3 linked regions of the Lytechinus pictus genome follow. The protein of the gene in region 2 interacts with the protein of the main gene of each other region in a biochemical or structural test. Links are inferred from orthologs where the notes say so. Each region holds a gene or a part of one and is shown on either strand. Other genes may lie near its edges.

The links.
Region 1: the proteins of E3 ubiquitin-protein ligase CHIP-like (region 2) and leucine-rich repeat serine/threonine-protein kinase 1-like form a complex in vitro, tested with the Homo sapiens proteins (2 studies listed by BioGRID and IntAct, with this or other methods). The link is inferred for Lytechinus pictus from reciprocal best matches to the Homo sapiens genes STUB1 and LRRK1.
Region 3: of the proteins of E3 ubiquitin-protein ligase CHIP-like (region 2) and cytochrome P450 3A24-like, one has a biochemical effect on the other in vitro, tested with the Homo sapiens proteins (3 studies listed by BioGRID). The link is inferred for Lytechinus pictus from reciprocal best matches to the Homo sapiens genes STUB1 and CYP3A4.

What each region holds. Positions count from the first base shown.
Region 1 is NC_087249.1:24,368,228-24,373,208, reverse strand, and holds the start of leucine-rich repeat serine/threonine-protein kinase 1-like, read right to left. Parts: upstream 3,022-4,981; 5' UTR 2,933-3,021; intron 1-2,932.
Region 2 is NC_087254.1:34,716,885-34,721,865, reverse strand, and holds the start of E3 ubiquitin-protein ligase CHIP-like, read right to left. Parts: upstream 3,239-4,981; 5' UTR 2,936-3,238; coding exon 2,834-2,935; intron 1-2,833. UniProt on the Homo sapiens protein: E3 ubiquitin-protein ligase which targets misfolded chaperone substrates towards proteasomal degradation.
Region 3 is NC_087251.1:35,007,820-35,012,800, reverse strand, and holds the start of cytochrome P450 3A24-like, read right to left. Parts: upstream 3,043-4,981; 5' UTR 2,301-3,042; coding exon 2,230-2,300; intron 754-2,229; coding exon 660-753; intron 1-659.

The sequences.
Region 1 (4,981 bases), on a different chromosome or scaffold from region 2:
TGTATTTTATTATATGAAATTAGGTTTATTCAATTTTTTTCCTCCAAGAACTAGGAAAATTGGATTGACAAGTGCATTGGATATTTATTGCTGCAACTTATTTCATTATAAGGGAGACATATTATTCACACAAGTATGAAATAATGAAAAAATTAAGATTTTATGTAATAACATAAGAAAACGGAAAGTGGGGATGTGACATCATCAGCCCACCTAATGAATATTCATGATGACTGTTTTCTCAAAATATTGCTAAACTTCACTATAGTGCATAAAGTCTAGCCTGTGTATATGCATGCTGGCTCAGTCAGTCTCTAACAGGTTAAAAAATAGTTGTTTGAAGGAAACTCAAACTAGTATTCCAGACATTTTGTTTTTTAACAAAATATGTTCATCCCTTTTAGCACATTCATGAAACAAACCTTTGAATCTGAATGGTTCAGCTCTAGCCAATATACTTCATGAAAACTCCACACATGCACATAGCTACATTATGTTCAAGTACCGTACATTACATAGGGAAATTGACATGATATTTGTCAATTAGAATGTAATAAGGAATCAATGAAATTCTGAAGATCCTACACTTTACACATTTACCTTTAAACTATATTACCGTATGTGCATTGATAAAAGATTCTGAAGCAACAAGTTGAATTGGGATCAAGAATGTCAACTAAACACATTATAAAACTCATATTTAATAAATATGAGTTTTATAATGTGTTTAGTTGACATTCTTTATTTATACATGTCGGTTTCCATTTTATTTTCATCATCATAACATGGGGTTTGAATAAGCCTTGCACAAATATTTGATTACATACGTGTAATTGTATCGTGTTTCAATGTTCTCACGGCTGCACCAGTTTTGAAAGGAAGTTCCCGAACACAAAATGGAGGGAATATCTGTATTAATTGGTGATTCTGCTTCATTTAAATATTTTGAACAAATACATGTAAGAGTACATTTTTGCAGTTTTATTTTGTCACAAGTGTGTATAAAATGAGATCTCTTTTGAATTTTATCCAAGTATGTCTGGCTGTTTGCCTCTCTGCCATTATAAATCCCCCATAACCTACTGACATCAAAACACAACTAAGTATACACTGTCATTTCTTTCTTACCTTTCATCAGTAACATCCATGTTGTACCTGGTAATAACATCCAAAGGTTCAATCAATCAAATATCAAATCCAGTACATCTGGTATCAAATCTAACAGCGAGTTTTTCTATTGATATAAAGCAGGCTAAACATAACAATCGGACCTTCGCTACTAGGAAAATATCATTTCCATATTCAGAATGAGTGTAAGATCAGAGTCCAGAATTTACGAGTTATGATTATTTGAAGGGCACTGGAGAAACTTATAAAAGGTAACATTGAATGAAATATATCTGAAAGCAATTTGCAAAAATAACTATTGACAAATAATAGGCCTAGTGCAAATTGAAAGTTTATTTCTCACTGTTAGTGTTACTTAACTTATAAAATGTTTCAATTTGAACTTATCACGATTGGAATACATGATGCATAGTAAATCAGTGAAAAGTTTTCTTGCATACACTGCATGGCATATTTACATATATCTTATGTTTGGTATTATTCTTAAAATATAACAGGCAAAGTTCTTGAACATGAACTGAAAGTCCCCACAAATGACTCCCAAAACAGATAAGATGGACACCAAAAATACAGCACTATTGGCAATAGCCCCATGAAACATGAAATCAATGCACTAGCTACTCCATCATTGATGTCACAGATTATGCAATCTCTCAAATATGCTGAACCACTACGTGTCTCTTCTGCGCAACTTTCATGATGCAACGGTCTAGAAACGAATCAGATTCCCTTGGACAGAGAAGTAGGTCAGCATGCAAGCCAGAAGGGGGGGGGGGGTGGGCCACTTCCATTTATGACGAGTTGATACCAGGCGCGACCAAAGAAACGCGTAAAAAGGATCTCTAGTTTTCAAGGGCATGTTACGCGTAACATAATAAGGGTGTCAAAAACATTAAAATACTGAAAAAAGTGTACATATTTTGCTAGGAAAGCTATGTGTTTACGATCAAATTTGCGAAGGTATAAAACAGACTGAAATGCTTTACAAAGGATGTACTTTTTGCCCCAACATGTGTTTAGAGTCCGATTTGAGAGAGGCGTGGGAGATTGGGCGGTACTAAACCCAACAAAAGTAGAGGTAAAGCTGACGTCCATGACATAACAATTAAAATATCGCTGTTTAGGGGGTCAATTCAGGGATTAGTTGTCAAGGCTACCGTTTTGTTTCCAATACTTGTTAAGGGTAGGGTTTCACATGGCAATACTACTTGTTAAGGGATGCGTTTTCAAAATATGGAAAATGCTTGTTTAGGATATGCATTTCATAACCAAATGGTCGCGCCTGGTATCCACTCGTCAATGGGTGTGCCCCCCTCCTCGGGCATGAAAGCAAAGTGACGGACCTATATCTTGGTCCAGATTGGGTATGGATCAAGTAGGACTGAATTTTTGGGATCTACTTTAATAAAGAACAGATATAAACCAAATATACCTGTTGTTTCTTTATTAAGTATTGAGGAAATTATTCATCCTTGGTTGGACTGGGAATATCATCCTTTTTTTCTCTGAAAAATAGTTATTGGCGGTCCAACCACAGATAAATTTTTTTTTATGCATCCTCAAAGCCTGGTATACTTGTATACTACATTATGATTATTATCCCAAACATCCAAGAACTCAAACATTGACAACTACCGACTTCAGCACCAAAGTCTCAAGCAATAAGGACGATTAAAAAGCAACAGTACACACTCCTTGGTCCTCTTTTGATTGTTTGGATCCAAATATTGAGGGGTACATCCAGGAAGACACACACAAATAAATAACGTACATTTCCATGACCATGAACATACACAAATCTTACCTGCAAGGTAAAGAATTTGTCATCTGATACAAACAGCATTAACTTTATCTAGACTGCATGAAGTACACTTGTCAGATATCAACTAAACTTATACCTGTTCCTTTTGAGTTAACATTTACTTGATAAAAAAAAGTAGAAAATGGTAATCCCTTCTGGTCAAATTACACACACGCCTGCTATTGTACTTGCACTGCAATGCTAAAGGGAAATCCCAGGGGTTTATTTTTATCACTAGCTCTTTATTTGTGGGGCTCATGGAATGTTTAAACATAGGATTTCATAAAAAGACTTCCTTTCATGTGCATTCATCCATATTTCCATTGAGCATACCTAGGAGCTTCAGGTCTGAGCACTGATGAATCATAGCTCTATGGATGAATGCAGATTTATTTTTTAACAATATTAATGCAGAAAGCTTTCTTTAGGCAACCCTTGAGAAGGCTAGTGGGGAAAAACCAGGCAACTTTTATAGGAGAAAAAGAAGGAAAAAGAAAAGGGAGAGACATACTATTTCGTAAATGATGAAAAACCCCAAATCATGTAGCAATGGCCTCAGTATCAAGCACGTTGTCTTCACTATAATCTGTAAAGCCCCAGTCACATAAAAAAAGGCCCCAGACCACCCCGGATCTGATTCGAGGTGGTCCGGGGAGAGATCTGTGTTGGCGCCTTGAATGTCCGGCCGGGATGCCAACATGGCAGTTTTTTACTATAAAAAAAACGTCCGGTGTCATCCGTGGACTGCCGGGTAGACAAGCAATCTGGGATGTCTGTGTAGCTGCCGTGTTGGTCCGTGTAGTTGCCGTGTAGGTCCGCATGGTTGCCTGGAGTATCCTTGACAGTCCGTGTTCTTTTTTTTCATATCAATTTTATACAACGCTGTTTACTTTATGAACTTTCAAGTAGTTGTTAAACACTTGACATAAGCATGCTTTATTTATTTAAGATTAAATATTCAAATTTTGTAATGTAAGATTTCAAGCACTTAACAACTACTGTACAAATAGTAAACTGCATTGTGTAAAAAATTAAAACAGCGTTTTTACTGGTTAAAGGAAGTTTGGGTTTTTTATTTTTTTGTAATTCATACCGGCATTGCTGTGTTGATCTTTGAGGATCCGTGTCTACATGTGACTGGGGCTTAAATAGAGTTTGATTTTATTTCAGTAATCCATTAACTTTACAGCTTTATTTCTTTGGGCTTTTTTAAAATGTAGTATTGGTTAATTGATGGGTTTCTATTACCCCCACCCTCATTACAAATACAAGGCAAAAGCAATTTTGTGTCTCGCCCACTTATGAAAATAACCAGAAATATAGTGATTTGCGAGGGCACGCAACAGAATTGTATCAAAACTTCCTTGTGAAATGACTGGGATGGAATAACACTTGTCATAAGAGTCTTGCACATAAACTTTAATGTTGACCTCAAAATGAACTTTGACCATACCATGTGACCTCCCAACACAATAGCATGCAGGTCCCCTAAGTACATCTACCATCGAAGTTTGGTTGTACTTTAACATTGACCTGAAAATGACCGTTGACCTTATCATGTGACCTCCGACTGCAAAATAACATGCAGGTCCCCCAAGTACATCTACCATCCAGGTTTGGTTGAAAAGTGACTTACGGTTGCGGAGTTAGGTCTCAGAAGAGTCTTGCATGTAAAATTTAACGTTGACCTGAAACTGACCTTTGACCTTACCATGTGACCTCCGACTGCAGCATAACACGCAGGTCCCCCAAGTCCATCTTCCATCCAAGTTTGGGTGAAAAGTAACTTACGGTTGTGGAGTTAGGTGTCATAAGAGTCTTGCATGTAAACTTTAACGTTGACCTAAAAATGACCTTTGACCTTACCATATGACCTCGGACTGCATAATAACATGCAGGTCCCCAAAGTCCATCTACCATCCAAGTTTGGTTGAAAAGTGACTTCTGGTTGTGGAGTTAGGTGTCATAAGAGTCTTGCATGTAAACTTTAACGTGAAAAAATGACCTTTGACCTTACCATATGACCTCCGACTGCAGCATAAAATGCAGGTC
Region 2 (4,981 bases):
AATAATGAAAGAAAGAAAGGAGGAAAGAGAGGGAGGAAAGAATGAAGGGAGGCCATAATGAAAAAAAAGAAGAAAATAATGGAAGGAGAGAAAGAACGAAAATAAAAACGAGTGGAAGGGAGAAGGATCAAATGAAGGAAATAAAAAAGGAAATGTATTAAGAAGGCAAGTAGGAGAAAGAAGGAAAGAAATAAAATGAACAGAGAGAGAAAGGAACAGGAAATAAAAATAGATATGTAACAAAAAAGGGCAAGAAGGAAGGATAGAAAAGAAAGAAAGAGGAAAAAGTTCAAACTTCAAGCAAATAAAAACAATCCAATCATATTTTATAACAAAAATCCTAATGATATTTGGTGTTTTTTTATATATATTTTTAAAATTAAAAAAAAACTAAAATGTTTTAGAAATGAATAAAATACGGGACGTCTGGTCACCCTGATCCTGGCCGAGTCAGTCCGAAGCTTGCATGCATTCAGCGCGATCTAGCTCGAGAGTCGACTGGCTCGCGATCGCTTGTGTACGTCCATAGTACATGTAGAGCATGCGCTCAGAGGGCGAGAGAGGGGTTTCCCCAGCTAGCTCCTTCGTCGATTAGTAGCGCATGCGCACAGTGTAGTTTAGAAAGTAAGATGGCAGCACCCATCGAACGGGACCGCTGGCGATAAAATGTCGGTAAATTGGCGCTGATTTGACATGTTTCCACTGTTTTTTTACTGGTATGACATTGTATGAGAGATAATTGATGGATAATTGCAATTTATCAAAAATTATTAAACTTTACTGTCAATTTATCTTTTTCATTTTCAAAACAAGCACTTGCCCGATCGGGCAATTGACTTTGAAAAATGCTTGCCCACACGTCAATTTCACTTGCCCTGGGCAAGCGGGCAAGCAGGTTTGTCGCGCCCTGATTTGAATCTTTTTTAAATAATTTTTTTTTCAAAGAAAATAAACTTGAAAAATATCTATGATGGCGAATATAGTCAAATTGACTGGTTGCCAAATACAAAGACCCCCCCTTACAACTGGTCAACGATCTACATGTAATTTGAAAGAAATCACAATTTGCTTATTTTTTAAAAGTACATGTATGAATGAAAAGAATCTTTTCATTTAAGTTTCAAAGTAACTATGGGAATACTAAATCAAAATTTTGGAAAAATGGAAGGCATTATATTTCAGTCAAGACCAAACTGATTTCAAATATCAGCCAATCGTGTGATTGTTATGACAATGTTACTATTGAATTTTCATAAATTATTCTAATAAGGAGTGTAGTATAGTCACAGATTTTGAACAATTTACGCATTCCTTCAATGATTTAGAACTTTCCACAGTATTAGATGTTCCATGTCTCAATATTCTCATCAAATGCAATTTTCATTTAAAGGAGAATGAAACCCTTGAAACCAGCTGAATCCGTATCAAAGAGAAAAATCAAAGAAATATATTGTTGAAAGTTTGAGGAAGATCGAATGAATAATAAGAAAGTTATGAGCATTTGAATGTCGAGATCACTAATGCCATGTAGATCCTCCTATTGGCAATGCGACCAAGATCTGTAATGTCACACACGTACAACTCCCTCATTACTTTAGTACTTATTTCACTTATATTCTCACTTTTATAGAGTCTATCACAAGGTGAGGTGTTCTCTTTATGAGAGGACAAGTACAGAGGTTTCACAACATTATATCATTGATGAATCGTTTGTCATATGATTAGAATGAGCAAAAAGAGATGTTTTGGGGTATATTTTCAGTGTCCAAAAGGGGAGAGTTGTTCATCTGTGACATCATAGATCTTGGTCGCATTGCCAATGGGAGGATCTCCATAGCATTAGTGATCTCGACATTCAAATGCTCATAACTCTTCTATTGCTAGTCCTATTTTACTCAAACTTTTGTTGATCTTATTCTTTGATTTTTCTGCTTTCACAAAAGCTAACTCGCTCCAAGAGTTTCATTCTCCTTTAAACATTGGGTTGCAGACCAATCATAAGGTGTGCGGTGGCCTTTTAAAAGGCATTGTGTATTTACAGCAGTGATCGCCAGACCGAGCCGCGATATCGGACTTGTTTTTGTTTTTAGGAAGTTGCGAGAGATCCCAGAGCACATGAGAGCAAATTGCTCGCAAATCTTGTTTATTTTTTTCGCTTTTCAGCAGCCATAAAAATTGTTAATATCAAGAAAATTGATGCAGCAATCAAAAAGGGAAGCAGGCGCAGACGAGAAACATCACTTTTTTATATTTTTTAGCAAATTTTTGAAAATAGTAAAAAGTAATATATTTCATGCGGTGGCCAAAAAAGATGCGCGCGAGGACGATCAACTACTTTCTTTTTTTACTTGGACTTAACTTAGTTTGGATAAACCAGGGAAGTGAGAGTTGCGCGACAGCCGAAGTAAGTCCCTTTTTTCCCCCCTTTTAAATTATTTTTCCCCGTTTTGGTGCATTTCAGGCGAAAACGGAATGACGTTTATTTTGGTCCAGTTCTTTTCATATTGACTATTGTTATTAAAGACAAAAATCGATGAGCCCCGTCGGCGTCGGGGGGATTTTGCATTGTTAACCCCCTAATCATGCTAATGGCAGCTGCACGATCGCGAGCCGTCTGTGTACGAGGAGAATTTTTTTTAATGTAAATAGAGTCCTCGAAACGGACGGCTGCCAGCTGTCTGGTATGCCGTATGGTTTTCACCCAAATATCTTCATGACCTTGCTAAATTACTTACACAAATGTTTATGAGTGGGACTAGAGTAAGCAAAGCTCGTACATTGTAAGCAATATTTGTGATTATTTATGCATTCAAAGGCTAAATATCATACTCACTATGGCCTTGTTATAGCATCCAATGGCCTCTTCATATTTGCGTGATCCATAAAAGCGATTCCCCTGTTCCTTTAGTTCCGTAGCATTCATCTTTATGTTCATCTTCTTTCACAAATGTCAGTTTTCGATCACCAGCACGCGTACCTACAGTGCTAGTGCGCTTAGATTTTCTTCTCTGTAGTGTAATTCTGTCAACATCGACAATTGATGACAGTTATATCGGCTATCAATCAATCATTGCTCTCGATATGTATCTCTGTCCATAGAATATAGGTCTAAAATACTTTATGCATTATTTCAATCTTCTAGGGGCTAAGTTAAGTGGTATAGCGCTCTGCGCTGAATCACATTTGGATTATTCTCGATCATTATCTGATTCTGACGTAATCGAATCTGCAGCAGCGCAAGAAAGGGGGGGGGGGGCTATAATATAAAACTACTGGCCTTTTCGTTTCTCATTTGTTTTTATTATATTGTCAAGGCACTGCGTGTAAACAATAAATTAACTTAAAGGTAAATCAAGATATATCATAGGCACAGATTTTATAACTACATGTATATAGGCCTACACTGCATGAGCAATATTTTTTTCTTTTAAAAGGGGACTTTCCATATGCAATGATGCGCCCTACATGTTTTTATAGCCTGTAATTGTGTTTCTTTTCTTTCTTAACTTTGAATGTGCTTATATATTGTGGGTCGCGTCAGTGGGTCTATATCAACTTTATTACGTACCATCTCTGACTCATCTTTGCAAAGTGGTCTTTGAACCCACCAGTTGAATTAACTAAAAATATGTACATTCCCCTCCCTTCCCCAGACGTCTGGGATGGAATCAGTGGCGGCAACAGTATTTTTAAACCGTTTGGGGGGGGGGTGCGAGTCGGGGGTAAAGGACTTTTTTTTCCGGGGAGACAAAGGCGGACACAATTTTTTTTCGGCTCCGGCGCGCCCTAAATTTTGTACCGGTATATATACTGACCTGAAAAGGGACACGTTAAGGCCTATTTGCAGTGACTCCTCCTGTATTCTACAATTTGTTGATCAAGTTTTTGCTTCGAAGGCTATTGTTGACTATTATTTACAAAAAAGAGGCGTGTGTACTGTGCCTTAAGACTACAAAAAGCATTTGATTTAGTTGATGGGCAATCTTTGTGGTTAGAATGACGAAATCAGAGGTAAATGGACTGAAAAGTATTAAATGTTGTATATGCAAAATCATGTGTCTGTAAACATGTCAGACTTTTATAGTTGTAATATCGGCGTAAGACAAGGTGAAAATCTTTCATCTTTATTGATTTTCAGGAACATATATCTCTAGATTTTATCCAGGCTTGAACTTTGCTATCTGAGGATCTCTGTAATGTCCTACAAGATGAGGATTTGGAATATTTTCTAAATTATTTTGTATTTTATATGCTGATGAAACAGTCATTTTGGCAGAAACCCCTGATGAGTTGCAGTCAGCATTGAACTCAGTTCACGATTATTGCAGAAAATGTCACTTCAACTTTGACTGTAAATACTTCTAAAACCAAAATAGTCATTTTTTCTGGGGGTAAAGTTAGGAAGGGCCTATTTCACTTTTAATAATGAGCCGATTGAAGTCGTTTATGATTTTTTTTTACTTGGGGATAAAATAAATAATTGTACCTTAAAAAAAAACGAGTCACACAGGCGAGAAGAACATTATCATTGTTAGCTAAAGCCCCCCCCCCCCAAAAAAAAAAATGCAATTGTCAGTTGATATTCAGTGTCATTTATTTGACCATCTGATTTTACCAATCCTGTTGTATGGGAGCGAAATATGGGGTTATGAAGACATAAGCCAGATTGAAGTGTTACACAGAAAGTTTCTTAGGACAATATTATTTGTAAACAAGTGCACACTATGGTGTATGGGGAGACAGGACGGGGTTGATTCTGAATCATTATAAATGTAGAGTAATTGGCTTCTGGTTGAGAATTTTAAAATGACATGAGAACAAATATTCAAGTGTGATACTGAAATTTATGTTTAGGTTAGATGAGCTAACAGATTATAACTGTAGCTCCTTGGCAGGGGCGTAACAGGGGTTGGTGGCCAGGGGGGGGGGGGGGGCAAGAGTCAAACATTTCCCGGTCATATCATGGTGTTTTGAGGCGACA
Region 3 (4,981 bases), on a different chromosome or scaffold from region 2:
TATGTAGATTTTTCTTTTACATGAATGTATAAATTATATTCATTTGTTGTTTAATTATTTGTTGTATATCTTGTTACATTTATGCATTTATATTATGTTATTTTACATTGTATTTAAATATTTTTATATGGTTAATAAATTAATTGAATTGTATTTTGTGCATTGTTTGGTTTTGTATTGCAGTGAATAAAAAACGTTAAAACTTCTAAAACATAACTTTGGGGACCTTTCATTAACATTTTTCACAAGCAAGGACTTAATTCATATCAGAATATGTATTCACCATATACTATCTTACACAGTGGGTGAGAAAAATGAAATAAAATAGCAAATGTCTTGTTGTATTGAATTTAGAAATCAATAAAAATCGAAATCTAGTTTCTAAATAAATTGTGGAATATGACTTTAACCACGAATTTATGTCTGATATGTAATGAACTAGATTTTCCAAAACCGTGTACAAAAACGTAAAAGTTACCATAGGATTGTGATTTTTTGCATGGTCAGCCCCCCCCCCCCCCCTTGAAAACCGTTCCGCGGCCCCTGAACAATAGAGGAATCTCCGTTAATGTTCAAGCAATTATGACTTAAAAGTTATCAGTTCACAATTCCCATCTGTAAGGTTTATATCGAACCTTTTTTACCATCTCATAATTTACCTTTGTGCAGGAAAGAATATTGCCTAACAATGGCAGGGGTCTTGGGCCCTTGATTCCTTTCCTCCAAAGGTAGGTTAGGTTCCATAGCTCCTGGCTGGTGATAAATATATAAATCATGAATAATGTTGATAGTAATTGTGTCAATGGTGCTTACAAAATGACAAAATTATAGTACCAACAAAAATAGGTGGCCTAACCACCATTACGTATTATGGAAGTAAAATTTTATGGGTCTCGCATTCAAGTTATCGACGGACAAACAGTCGCTTGTGATTTTCTTTGTCCGACATGGCAGCACGTAGGTTAACGTCATATCAATCTTGCCATCTGTTGCAATTTGAAGCCGAGTTCTACTCCGATCACATAGTAAAGATTTGTTTTAATAATGTTTAAGACGTATTAGCATTATTCCGAACTTTAGAAAAAGATGATCATACGTTTTAAACTTTCAGATATAACATGACTTGTGTGGTGTGATCTTTAATTATTTCTGTTATTCAGAACGTCTAGAACTGATCATTGTTTGCAGACATATTATTAATTGATATAATATATATCAATTTGCACATATCAATTTTAATGTTATACCTCCCCTTCAGCCGTCCTTCACAGTTTTCACAATGGTATCAGCTTAGAGAAATAGCCCCCAAAACCGAATATACATGAGTAGTACCAGCATTCACGGCACTCTATGCTTCACACAGGGAATTGTATGAATTTTGAGACGCAAAGTTACTTAAAGCTATGCAAATGAGGGTATAATCAGTTGTATAAACAACTATTGATAGGCACACCTTAGCAAACCATACTTGATTCCCCACTCACACCGATATAGATTATACATATATATATATATGGTTAGATTATGATATTATCGAAATTTAGTTTAGACCACAATACTTTTTTTTTACTTTTACGAACAGGCCAGGAGCCGATCGAGGAGGTCGATGATGGATGGGGACTTTTGAACCACTGCACCTTGGCAGAACCGGAAACATACTTGGTACACCACTTCCATTCAGTGTAGAATTAAATTGTGTAATCTTTGTATGTATAGGCCTAGCTACCATGGAGCGCTATATGAAATTATTGACTATCCATGATATAACTGAGGGGGTTAATAACGCTGGTCAATCTCTTGATCTATCGGAGTACAGGAACTTCTTCTTTTTATGTTAAGTCTGTACTGAACACCTTTGGTGTACGTAGGCCTATATTCATACTGTTGACAGCTATGGTGTGGATGCGAATTAACAAATACATTGATTACGTGCATCCAGTGTCCATCTAGCGGAGCTAAGAATCTACAACTTTACAATGAATGAATCCATGTTTTACAGGAACATCTATGTTGAATGTATAATAATGATTACATTAGTTCAACCGAGCAAACAAACTAGGTTCAAAGCTCAGAATAAAGAGAACAACATGAAGGAAATGTGATTGAAAAAAAAAATTGAAGATAGGGCCCATTTTTAGTCTATTATTCAAACTCGGTTTTAAATATTACTGTTAACGTAGCGTAAGCCTTACGAGAAGAAATATCATAAATAGGCCTATATCTACTTACCCGAACAGCAAAGCAGCTATTGCTCCAACAATGGGCAATGAAATCTTGAATCCGAATATCGAGAAAGACATTTTGTGTCATGTACAGGAACACTCTTGGAAAATGTCGTGTACTGTAATGGCAATATATCACCAAAAGGGTGCTTCCCTTTGATCTCGGGCAATGCTTTGCCTAATTGCATCAGCTTGCGATCGATGCAGAGGTAACTCACAAAAAGGGGTGTTGAACACTGATCTGTCCACTATCTTTAGTCCTTTTATTATAGTATTCAGATCAGTGGCGTTGAACAATACGTCATATCGGCATGTAGGTCTACAGAATGTCTGTATATACTCGTTATGCAATAATCAACGCTTATTGACATCCCGGATCATGGATGACCAGTTTATTCCATCAAATCAACTGGACCATGTACACGTGGAAATCCTGGGGGGCGTTTCATGAAAGGACTTGTCGGACGTTTTATCCGACAAGTCCCATTTTATCCGACAGTTACCATGGGAACAGTGCCTCTCGGCCAATCAAAATCAGGGAAAGATGTCAGATCTGACAACTTGTCGGATAAAAATATTGATGAAACGCTCCCCTGATCAGTTCCAAATCCCATATGCCAGAACCCATACACTCCCCCCTAAAAGTTTGGAAACACCTGCCTTCAGTGTGTGTTTTTCGAACTTTGGTAGACTTTACTGAAGTTAAGCCTCATAGTACAGCTGTACTTTTGTTTTAAAGTGAAGGCTATACACCAGTGTACATTTTATCATTGAATCAAACAAATTCAAAGCTCTTAAGAGACGTGCAGCTGCCAAAGAGGGCAGGCTACCAGTCAAGATGGCATTCTGTTTGGGGTTCTATTCTGAAATTCTTCCCATTATTTTGTGAATGTTACAGCAGATGTCCCCAGAATTTGTTGCTCAGTATTGTTCATAAGACAGTTAATTTATGGAAATCTGCATCTTTATCCTGGAAAACATCTGAACTTGACAAATGCCTAATCCTTCTTTAAAGAAAATGCATGGAAGTGGAGTAGACATCAGTGCAATTTGAAATTCATGAATTCAAAAGTTATTCAGAGTTTTTTTACACTTATTCCAGTGCACCTTCATTCATTTTGCCTATTCAGTTTTTCTTAATCAGAAGTCAGTCACAAAATCAAAATGGCTAAGACAAGACAGCCTTCTTTGGAAACACGTCAGTCAATTGTAGTTTTGAGGAAAGAAGGCTACTCCATGCGAGAAATAGCCAGGAAACTCAAGATCAGTATCCATGCTGTTCACTACAGCCTGAAACGCAAAGAGGCCACTGGGTCTAATGGGGATAGGAGACGAAGTGGTAGGCCCAAAACAACATCTCCTGCTGAAGATAAATACATTCGGGTGAGCAGTCTGCGCAACCGTTGTCTGACTTGCCCACAGATTACAGCTGACCTCAACAACACCCGTGAGATGCCTGTATGTTCTTCAACTGTTAGAAGACGTCTCTGTGGAGCAGGGCTGATGGGCCGTGTGGCTTCAAGGAAACCACTCCTCAAAGAAAAGAACCGGAAGAAAAGGCTTGCTTGGGCTAGGAAGCATAAAGACTGGTCTTTGGAGCAGTGGCAGAAGGTTCTTTGGTCTGACGAATCAAAGTTCGAGGTGTTTGGCAGCAAGCGACTTACCTATGTGAGACGGCGAAAGGGAGAAAAGATGCTACTCCAGTGCATCAAGCCAACTGTGAAACATGGTGGTGGTAATGTCATGGTTTGGGGTTGCTTTGGTGCAGGAAAGGTAGGCAGCTTGCACAGAGTAGAGGGTATCCTCAACCAGCACGGCTATCATTCTATCCTACAGCGGAAGGCCATCCCTTCAGGGAAACGCCTGATCGGAGAAGGATTCGTTTTCCAGCAGGACAATGACCCAAAACACACGTCAAGACTATGCAAAGACTACTTGAAGAAAAAGGAAGAGAAACAAGTCCTGGAAATCATGGATTGGCCGCCCCAGTCCCCAATCTCAATCCCATCGAGCTGCTTTGGGAAGAACTAGACAGGAAGGTTCGAGAAACTTGCCCAACAAGTGAGACTCATCTGTGGGAGATACTACAGAAGGCATGGCCGGGTATTTCAAGTGACTCCCTCAACAAGTTGACCAACAGGATGCCGAGAGTGTGTCGTGCTGTTATTGCTGTCAAAGGAGGATTCTTTGATGAGAAGGCAGTCTAATTGGAACACTTTGAAAAAGAAAGACATGCCTTTAAGTTAAAATTCATTCTAGATTTTATTTGTTTGTTACAGTATCACAAAAACAAAGAATAAACTGTAAAGTCTTTTTTCAATAAATGAGTTTCCATGATCAAGAAAAAAACTGACGCCCTTTTGATTGTTATTGTGGTTATTTAAAAGAAATATAGGATTTATTGTCTTTTTTGTTTATTCAATAAAATCTATAAAAAAGTTTTCCATATCAGTGAAACACTGAGTATTGTTTAATTTTATTTTTGTGTCTGACTTCTGACTAGGAAAAGGAAAAATGAATGAAGTTGCACATGTATTAGTGCAAAAGCTATGAATAACTGCATGTTATAAAAGAAGTTAGCATTTTGAGAGAATGCCATCTTGACTGGTAGCCAGCCATTTAAGAGAGTATAAATTTGTTTGAATCAATAACAAAATTTACACTGCTGTATAATCTTCACTTTAAAACAAATATTCAACTGTGCTATGAGCCTGAACATCAATAAGGTCTACCAAATATAGAAAAACACACACTGAATG